2 linked regions of the Mus musculus genome follow. The protein of the gene in region 1 purifies or fractionates together with the protein of each later gene. This does not show direct contact. Links are inferred from orthologs where the notes say so. Each region holds a gene or a part of one and is shown in the gene's direction. Other genes may lie near its edges.

Region 1 (5,376 bases):
CAATAAATGAATAAATACAAATAAAATTAATTCTGTACAAGTAATTTCTTACCTTAAATTTCCATAAATGTGTGGAGTTTTCTCTCTTAATTGCATCCAAATTTACAGTTTTAGTGATCGCTGGGATAATTATGTCACATGCCTTTTGAATACAACAGAGATATATTCTCACATGAGTTCTACAAAAAATGTGTGTTAGCAAACACAGTGAATATTATTTATTATCATTTACATATAAGAAAAACAATAGCATGTAAGTGCTTTGAAGTCATATAGCAGGTGGTTTTTTTGTTTTGTTTTGTTTTAGTTTTTGTTTTTTAGAGACAGGGTTTCTCTGTGTAGCTCTGGCTGTCCTGGAACTCACTCTGTAGACCAGGCTGGCCTTGAACTCAGAAATCTGCCTGCCTCTGCCTCCCTAGTGCTGGGATTAAAGGCGTGTGCCACCACACCTGGCTAGTAGTAATTTTTAATATTAGTATGGTAGAGAAAAATATAAACTGTCTCCTAGGTCACTGTTAAGGATTAAATGAGTTACAGCAGGCAAAATATGTAGTAATGACTTGGTAAAGGTTAGCTGTTAATTATATTATCTTGAACTATAAAAATTACTATTTCAGTAAGCACCTCACAATTTTGTCCTGAGGTTTTATATTTCTTTTATCTACTTCTTTCAGATACTGATTATACCAAAGATAACCATAGCATTTTACTCTTATGTTGTTATTAATTACTCAATAAAAGAAATTGGCAGAATGAATTGCTAAGGATATGTTAAGTTTATGAATTGAATTAAATTTAATTCTATGCCCAATGTGGTTTAATCACCGAGCTCCCTGAGTCTGAAAACCAAACTCCCACTATAGCCATACATTAATGTGAACCTTCAAATTTGAGTATTTCAAAGCAAATAATGTACACAATTCAAATAGTACTTGTTTTCCCATCATGTTTTGTTTCTATGAATTCTGTTCAAAGTAACATCCTGAGAACGGGATGCTAAGAGAAATTGGGGAAGTGAACCAGTTTCCTCAAACTGTCAATTATTATACAAATCCTTTGATCAAATCAGCGCTGTGCTAAGAGTTAAAGTTATACATGAAAACAATTGTAGTCTCAAGGTAGTGGAAAAAAGACTTTTTGTCAACCGGAGTGGCGACACATGCCTGCCACATGAGCACTAGGGAAGCTGAGGCAGGAAGATTGACATGGAATTCCAGGGGAGCCTTGGATAGATACATAGTGACAGCAAGTCAGAGAATATCACTTCAAAGACAAACCAAACCAAACTATCATTTCTATCCAAATTTCAATGAATAGTTAAGAACTTTAAAAACGTTTTGGCAGAATTTCAAAACAGCGTTCCAACTTATCCTACAGGAATTGAGAAGAAAGAGCTTGTTGACCTTTTCAGAAGGGGGAAACGGCCTCCTCCTTAAAGTGTAAACTTCGCGCGCAATGTTTATCAGAATCAAGGGGAGACTTGATACTACTACAAGAAGTTTTCTAGAAGAATATTATTCCCTTGCTCATCAGGTAGGCGCAGCACTTTCTTTTGGCATGCTGTTCCTTGTTTGAAAACAAAACCTTGCAGTAGCTAGCGACTTTTTCTTGGGGTAGAGAAAGAACAAACAAACCAAATCCGTTCGGTGACCCAAGGTAAGCTAGATCATGTCAGTCCCTCGCCAGTTTCTCTTGATCATGTCTGGAGAGAGGTTCCCTCACCGGAAAGGGTCCGATTGCCCTTACAGGAAGGGTAAGCAACTCCGGAGCTCTAGGACGCCAACGCCACCACAGAGTTTGACGAAGATTGCCAGAGCGTCTGCCTGCATTTAGAACCTCTTCCTTGTTCTCTGGGCAGTAACTAGGCAACCCCAGGCCGGCTTAGCTGCTGGAACTAGGCGGCCGCCTTAGTGCCTCTGGCGGCCAGCCTGGAGCTTTGCAAGCGGCTCCCTTCCCTTTTCCCCCCTCCTTCTTTCTATGGCTCCACCCCTTTCCCCCCGCCCACCCCTCTCCCCCCGCCCACCCCTCGGCGACTTCAGCTCCTCCCTCTCCTTCTCTCTTGCTCTCCTTCCTCCTCCGCCTCCTCAGCTCTTGGGCTAGAATATCTATGGGTCGAAACGTGATGCGATGAATCCGAGAGAGACCGAAACTGGGACGAAGAGTGCGGCGGAAGCGGCGGGACTCCCAAGCATGGGGGCTTCACCACAATAGAGGCAGCGCCCCCACCCGCCCCCGCCAGCCCTCCTGAGCGAAGCCCCCAAACCCCCTCGGGAAAAGGATGGCGGCGGCACCTACCCAGATCGAAGCCGGTGGGTAGCTGAGCCGGGGGCAAAAGGGATGGGGGCTTTGCGCGACTGCTGTCAGATTTTTTTTAAAAAGCTTGTATCTCTTTTCCTTGCCTCTCTCTCAACGTCTCCCCCCACCCCCAACCCCTTCTTTAGAGCTGTATTACCTGATCGCAAGGTTCTTGCAGTCCGGACCCTGTAACAAATCCGCTCAGGTGAGAGGGAAAGGATATCTGGGAGTGTTGGGGAATGGTCCCATTGGGGAAATTGAGGCACTGGGTGAGCAGTGCAGTTGGAGGGTGAGGGAAAGGCCGGCCGCGATTACTCCTACAGTCAGCGGCTGTGTTGGAAGTGGGGAGGGAGGAATGGGTTGGCGCCCCAATCTGCTTTCACATCCCTGTGTCCCTCTTCCCCAGGTGCTAGTGCAAGAGCTCGAAGAGCATCAGGTATGGACCCCTTTTGGGAAGAGGTGGGGAGGGCTGGGGAGAACCTGGAGGAAGGGTAAGGTAGGTCAGGGGCCGAGGGCAGGGGCCCGGAGGGAGCCTTCGAGCTGGACACTTGGGGCTGTTGTCACTTGGGGTAAATCGGGTTCTTTGCTTAGAAGGGGCGGACAACGCAGGGGTCTAAACTCGCTGCCTTTTATTCCTGCGGGAGGTGTTTTTTCAGGATTTCCTTCCCTTTGGCCTGCCCCCCCCCACCCCCAACCCCCGGCACAGCGGCAGTAGCTGTCGGGACTGGAGAAATGAAAATGTTAAAGGGTCTAGGATTAGGCTCCAGGCTGGGTGCTGCTGCTGGGGAGCAGAGGCTTTTCCTTCACCCCCCCCCCTTTTCTTTTCCTCCGGCCCCCAGCTGATTCCGCGCCGCTTAGACTGGGAAGGGAAAGAGCACCGAAGAAGCTTCGAGGATCTGGTTAGTAAACTTTTCGTTTCAACTTAGCCCAACTCTTTTTCCACTCCCTCCCCACCTTGTGCCCCCAACCGCCCCTGGCCCTTCAGCCCTTAGAGCTCCCCGAGCCTGCTGTTCGGTGTTCGAAGGACTGCCCCTTCCCCCTCCCAGCGTGTCGGAAAGGGTACCTTGCCCTGCTCTAGCCTTGCTTATTTTCACCCCAAAACTTTGAAGAATGTGAGTTGGTTTTCAGAGGTGCTGTGTTGTGCTTTAGGACTGTGTTACAAACAGCGGAGAAGGCCCATTGTAGGGGGATAAGGGACAGAAACCAGGGGGTTATCTTGGGGCACGTACCAAGGACTGACGCTGGCCAATGACAGCGTTGGTAACAGCCCGGAGTTCCGGATTAGTGGAAGAAAACTGGTTTCTGGTTGGTCCTGGCTTGAAATACGGGAACTGAGGCCAGGCTTGGGTGTTTTTTTTTTTTTCTAGCTCTCTCTCTCTCTCTCTCTCTCTCTCTCTCTCTCTCTCTCTCTCTTTCTCCTTTTTCTTTCTTTCTTTTTTTTTCTTTTTAGAGTGGAGGGGAGAAGGAATTCAGAAGGGGAACTGACTCATAAGTGAGAAAAACTACATAAATAAAAATACTGAGGACTACTGAGTGAATTCCAAGATTGTTCATCTTTAGATAATGGGTTACTGAATAAAAACATTGTTATATATTTCTAATCTTAAAAAATAGCTAATTAATTCATCAGTAAACTGCATTTGTGCAAATATGTTTTCACTAAAGAAGAAATATGTATTATGACCTTTTTGGGAATAGGTGAACAGGATTTTGGGATTAGGAGACAATGGACATTTTTAAAAAAGAGAATATACTTTAGTTAAGTCTTGAATTGACTCTTGTTTTTTCCATAAATATAATTTGCAATGTAAGTGCACTTTCTGCTCTGCACTGAGACAAAAAGATGATCTTTTATATGTGGGGAAAGAGATTCTACTCTTAGCTACAGAGTTGTATGATGAAAGGAGTGATAATAAAACCTAAATTGAACTCTCTTTCCTCCAAATAAGATCCAAATGAGGAAAAGCATACAAAGTGGACACAAAGTTGGAAGAGTAGTAGACTAAGGCAGACTAAATAAAAAGAAAATAATTGAAAGTTTGCTTGTCAGTAGAAAACAGTTAAATTGCTGTGATGTTAATTTTGAAAACTTTGAGTATTATAAGAGTGAAGCCACATTATTACAGAAGCTACTGAGTTTTCCCTAATATCTTGCAAATCCAAAAATGGTTTAATTGTAATAAGAGTGAATGCCACCACCAGTATTATTAATGGTAATAATTTCTCAGATGGGTACAAATTATTTTTGAATACCTGTTACTACTTTTAATTTTCAGCCTGAAGTTTTGTTTTTCTTCTTTCTGTTGTTGTTAGACATAAATCCTACTTGTATCACAGAAGGTAAATTCGAAGTATTCACTAATACATGTTTTAGTATCAAACTACTGATAGCTGTTTGAACATAGTTTTAATATCTGGGTGTATGAGAAATGATTTTGTGTACTTTTTTCCTTTTCCAGCTTATATATGGATAGGCAGGTAGATCATTTTTAAGCAAATGAGAAAAGGAAACTTAAAAATGAACTTGATAGAAAATTGAGTAATTAAAAATGGTCTCCTTACCACACACTTTAAAAGGTGGTTTTCTAGTCATTTTTCTTAAACAGTAAAGGCAAATCTTTACACAGTTATTATCAGCATCCATCCTTTGCTTTATATTTTTCTGACAGTACTTTTGTATGACTATTGTTCTTTGAATATCCATCATGGTAATGGTAAGAAAAAGAATTAGTTGTGTTTTAAGTATTATGATTTGTCTTAATTTCCAATTGGTCATTTGAGCAATGACCTTTACCTTTTCACTAATTTTTTTTTTTACCTTTTCACTAATATTTTAACCTTTTCACTAATATTTTTACCTTTTCACTAATATTTTTGCATAATTAGGGGAGGGGCTCTTTTTCTGTTGCCTTCTCCAAAAGTCTCATGGATTTATGAATAAGGTCAAAGTAGCTCTTGAGTTTTCAAGCTTTTGTCACATATTGAACATCACTCTCCAGAAGTTTGTACTAATATTTAATGCAAAAGAAAGTGTGAGGGTTTATAGTTTTAAAATTATTTAAAATGGTTTTAATATGTGAT
Region 2 (4,604 bases), about 70 Mb from region 1:
CCGTTCTAGTTCTATTTGATCTGCTGTTCCTTCCCACATTGACAGTATGGTTGATAGAGATTTTACTGGTGAGAAACTTGTTTTCTAATGAGGTCCATTTCAGGTGCATAGTGAGTCTTGGCACTACTGAGATTCTTGTTTTTATAGGCCACATACTCCAATCCCTAAAAATGTAGGTAGCAAGGGTGACAGTTTCCTTTTTAAATGAGATTTATGGTTAGGTTTTAAGTGTAGAGTACTGTATTTGTGAAACTAGCAGAGTTTGGCGAAACATCTTTTGGGTTTCTGCAATCCTTCCCGAAGGTAAGGTCTGAAAACGAAAACTGCTGTGTATATACACCGAAGTAGTGACTATCACTAGTCTAAAGGTAGAAACCGTTAACTGCGTCTTTCGTCACTACAATGGGCTCTTAAGTACTGACCTGCAGATATTAGAAAATGTGTGTATCCTGGTGTTTGAGATTACTGCTTAGGAGTTTGATGAACATAGAAAGTCAGGGTTTAAAATGTATTTTGACTTAACTTTTTATCTGTTGAATGTGTTTCTGTTTTCCTGGTTTATTTTTTTCACCCTCCTCAGCTTGTGCAGGTAACTAGATGCTAGAACTGTATTCAAGATGGGGAAGTGAATGAATGAACTTAAGGCCTTGGTGGCTAAGTATTAGCTTGTGATTGAAATGTTGGTGTGAAAAAGAGCACTGTGCTACTTGTCTGAAGCAGGGGGTTATATATAGTATTGTTTATTTTTAACCCTTTCCATCCTCATGCTCTCAAGAGTCTTAAATTCTTTCTGATTTATTAGTAGAGCTTTCTAAAGTGAATATGAACTGTATTTATAGATTTATTCATTCATTGTTTCATTTAAAGAAAACCAAAGTAATAGGGAAGGTTTTTTTTTTTTTTTTTTAAGAAATGAGCTGTGATTCTAATTTCATTTGCAAATTGATTTCTCCTGAAGGCATTAGGGCGTTTGAAATCTTTAATTTGTTTAACTTATCACAGATGAATGAAGTTTAAAGTCTACATTAAATTTCTTTCTATTCTGAAAATGCTGCATAGGTTCTGGAGTCATTTAGGTGTTACTTCGGTTTTGTTTTGTTTGACATTTGATTTTGTTCCTTTAAAATGAAGAAATGTTGTGATTCTGTGACTGCTGCATACATTAGGGAGTCAATCAGACCTGAATCGGAATCCCAGCTTTGCCATTGACTAGTTATGGTGACCTTGGGCGAGCTTAGCAAATGAGTTCCAGGCTCACTTTCTTCAGCTGTAAAGTTGGGGTTGCTAAGATTCCCTGCGAATGTGTTATTGTTGAGACAATTTCTATAAAGTTTCTGAAATACTTTTCATATAGTGTGTACTCAGTATTTTAAATCTTCCCTACAAGATTCATGTCAGCTTCTGTTTTACACGTGATAAAACAAGATCAGAACTGCTATTTTTATCTGTCATTCTCAAATTTTTATATTTGAAGCAGTAACAATCAATAGGAGAAAAAAATACCTTCAATTTTCATAGGTGAATCAAAATAACAGTATTTTGGCATCTTAAATTTTGTTTATATTGAACTTTTAAATATCACAGTTACCTTAATGTTGAGGTATTAAAAGGATCCTAAAATAGCAGTACTGTTCTATTTTATAGTTCTTTGGTTACTATATCCTTAATATTTTTCTAATTTTGTTTGCATATTATTTAGATAAGCCTAAATTACCAGAAAACTATACGGATGAGACATGGCAAAAGCTAAAAGAAGCAGTGGAAGCCATTCAGAATAGTACTTCAATTAAGTACAATTTAGAAGAACTCTACCAGGTATGTATTAGTATGTAAAACCACACTTTACCAACATAAGCTAAGATGGAATGCATTTGTATTTTCCTTTTTTTAAAGATTTATTTTGTATGTGCATGTGCTAGAGTGTGTGTGTGTGTGTGTGTGTTTGTGTGTGTGTGTGCATGCGCACACAAAACATGTGTGCCCTTGGAGACCAGGGCTTAGGTTCCTTCTAAGCTGGAGCTATAGGCAGTTGTGAGCTGTCTGACATGGGTGCTGGGAATCAGATTTGGAAAGAGTTCTCTTAACTGTCCCCTGTATTTTAACGTCCTGAAGTACATTCTTTAGTAGAGTTTTGATCACTTACTAGTTAAATGGTGCCTTCTTTTTTTATGATCATAACACACAGTATTACTTCAGCTGGGGATCCATAATTGGACAGTTCTGATAAGGCTTTATTAATATTTTGGTATAGTAGAGGTATGACCCAGACTGGGCTGTTATAGCATAGATTAGCTATTCTTTTTCTGTGGGTTGTCATTTCTGTTGCGGTAGCTCTTGTTTAGTTCTCTTACCTACATATAGGAAAGGCCTCAAGACCTGCAGCTCTTTACATTCCTGCATCCTTTCTTCTGCCTTAGTTTTTTAAAAAATTATGTTTACTTGTCCTGTGTGTATATGTGTGGGCAAGCCATGTGTGGAGGTCAGAGGACAATTTATGGGAATCAGTTCTTTCTTTCCACCTTATGGGTTCCAGGGATTGAACACAAGTTATTAGGCTTGATGGTAAGTGCCTTTACCTGCTGACCATCTCCCTCTTGTAAATAATTTTTAAAAATTGCATGTGTGGTTATGAAAGAGAGGGGAGAGAAGAAAGACTCTGTGTGTGTGTGTGTGTGTGTGTGTGTGTGTATTATAGCACACATGTGGAAGTCAGAGGACAGCTTGCAGAAATTGGCCTCTTTTTTCACCATGTATGTTGTGCGCAGGATCAGACTCAGGTTGTCATGTTTGGTGCTAAGCACCTTTTACTAATCCGTTAGTCTTCTCGTTGGCCCTGCCTCATTCTTTTTTTTTTTTCTCTCAAGACTTGGTTTCTCTGTGTAGTCATGGCTCTCCTGCAACTTACTCTGTAGACTAGGCTGTGTGTGCCACCAAAGTGCTGGGATTAAAGATGTGCACCACCACCACCCTGTACCTGACTTTTTTTTTTTAATTTAAAAGCATCTGTACAAAGGAAGCTTTTTTTTTTAAAGATTTATTTATTTAGTTTATGTATGTGAGTACACTGTTGCTGTCTTCAGACACACCAGAAGAGGGCATCAGATCTCACTACAGATGGTTGTGAGCCACCATGTGGTTGCTGGGAATTGAACTCACGATCTCTGGAAGAGCAGTGAGTGCTCTGAACCATGGAGACATCTCTCCAGCCTGACTCTTTGAGACAGGGTTTTTCTGTGTAGCTCTGGCTGTCCTGGAACTCAACTTTGTAGACCAGGCTGGCCTTGAACTCAGAAATCTGCCTGCCTCTGCCTCCTAAGTGCTGGGAATAAAGGTGTGCGCCACCATGCCCAGCTCTGACTCATTTTTTTTGAACGCACTAAAGCTTTATTACAAAAGGAGTTAACTGCTAGAGATGGCCCTCCAGTCTTTCTCTGTGTCCTCTTCCTTCCCAAGATACACTTCCAGGGGAGGTCAAGGGTCCATTGTAGAAGGGGTGTCTAGGAAAGTGAAATATGGTAGTATTTTTTCCAAAGTTCCTCCAGATCCTTCTAGGTGCTGTTGACCATCTTCTGGTAGAAGAGGTAGGGACTTCAGCTCTTATTTTCAAGATCCTCCATAGCTATGGCTGACTAGTCCTGGTTGACTTGGAGGGGGCTTTCACTTACATGGCTGCTTTTTCTCTGACTCATTTTTAATAGTAGTTTTGCACTTTTTGTCTTGAGCTTCTTCTGTCTCCTGGTCTACAGGATGCACCTTATTCCAGAAATGAGCAATAGCTTGTAGCCCAACACCTTAGTCTGAAATTCATGTTTGTTTTTCCTGAATTAAAAGTGTTTTGTTGCCTGGCAGTGGCGGCACATGCCTTTATTCCCAGCACTTGGGAGGCAGAGGCAGGTGGATTTCTGAGTTCGAGGCCAGCCTGGTCTACAGAGCGAGTTCCAGGACAGCCAGGGCTACACAGAGAAACCCTGTCTCGAAAAACCAAAAATGTGGAATAGGAGTTAGAGGACACATTTGGGGGACACATTTGGGATTTAATTTTGACTATTGCTGCTATTCTTTTTTTTTAAGATTTATTTATTGTAATGTAAGAATGTAAGTACTCTGTAGTTGTCTTCAGACACACCAGAAGAGGACATCAGATCTCATTACGGATGGTTGTGAGCAACCATGTGGTTGCTGGGATTTGAACTGAGGACCTTTGGAAGAGTAGTCAGTGTTCATAACCATGGAGCCATCTCTCCAGCCCCATATTGCTGCTATTCTAATCTTTGGCAAACAATAAACACTGTCAGCTTTCGTTTCCTCCTCTATAAAACAGGCAAACTAGTGCCTGCCTTTCTTCCTTGCTAGGTGGCTAATAAAGAATGCAATAAGATGTTTGTAAAACAAAACAAACACCTTAATGAAGCACTACGATACATAAATTAAGCTGATGTTAGCATTAGTCACACTTTTTACAAACTATAGTGTAGCTCTTTTTATCTGTAATACATAAGATAGAGATCCCTGGTTTCTTTCTTTTTGCTGTGGAAATGAAGTGAGTCAGTGTAGGCAGCACACAGCTGTGTTCAGGTGCTGCTGCAGTAGACATGTCAGCTGGG

What was found. Proteins that work in one complex are often made in the same cells at the same time.
Region 2: the proteins of Brwd3 (region 1) and Cul4b purify together in Homo sapiens (affinity purification with mass spectrometry; 3 studies listed by BioGRID and IntAct, with this or other methods). This does not show direct contact. The link is inferred for Mus musculus from reciprocal best matches to the Homo sapiens genes BRWD3 and CUL4B.

Annotation. Positions count from the first base shown.
Region 1 is NC_000086.7:108,831,032-108,836,407, reverse strand, and holds the start of Brwd3 (bromodomain and WD repeat-containing protein 3), read left to right. Parts: upstream 1-2,061; 5' UTR 2,062-2,278; coding exon 2,279-2,309; intron 2,310-2,441; coding exon 2,442-2,500; intron 2,501-2,701; coding exon 2,702-2,731; intron 2,732-3,134; coding exon 3,135-3,194; intron 3,195-5,376. UniProt on the Homo sapiens protein: Plays a role in the regulation of cell morphology and cytoskeletal organization. Required in the control of cell shape.
Region 2 is NC_000086.7:38,558,820-38,563,423, reverse strand, and holds part of Cul4b (cullin-4B), read left to right. Parts: intron 1-1,699; coding exon 1,700-1,815; intron 1,816-4,604.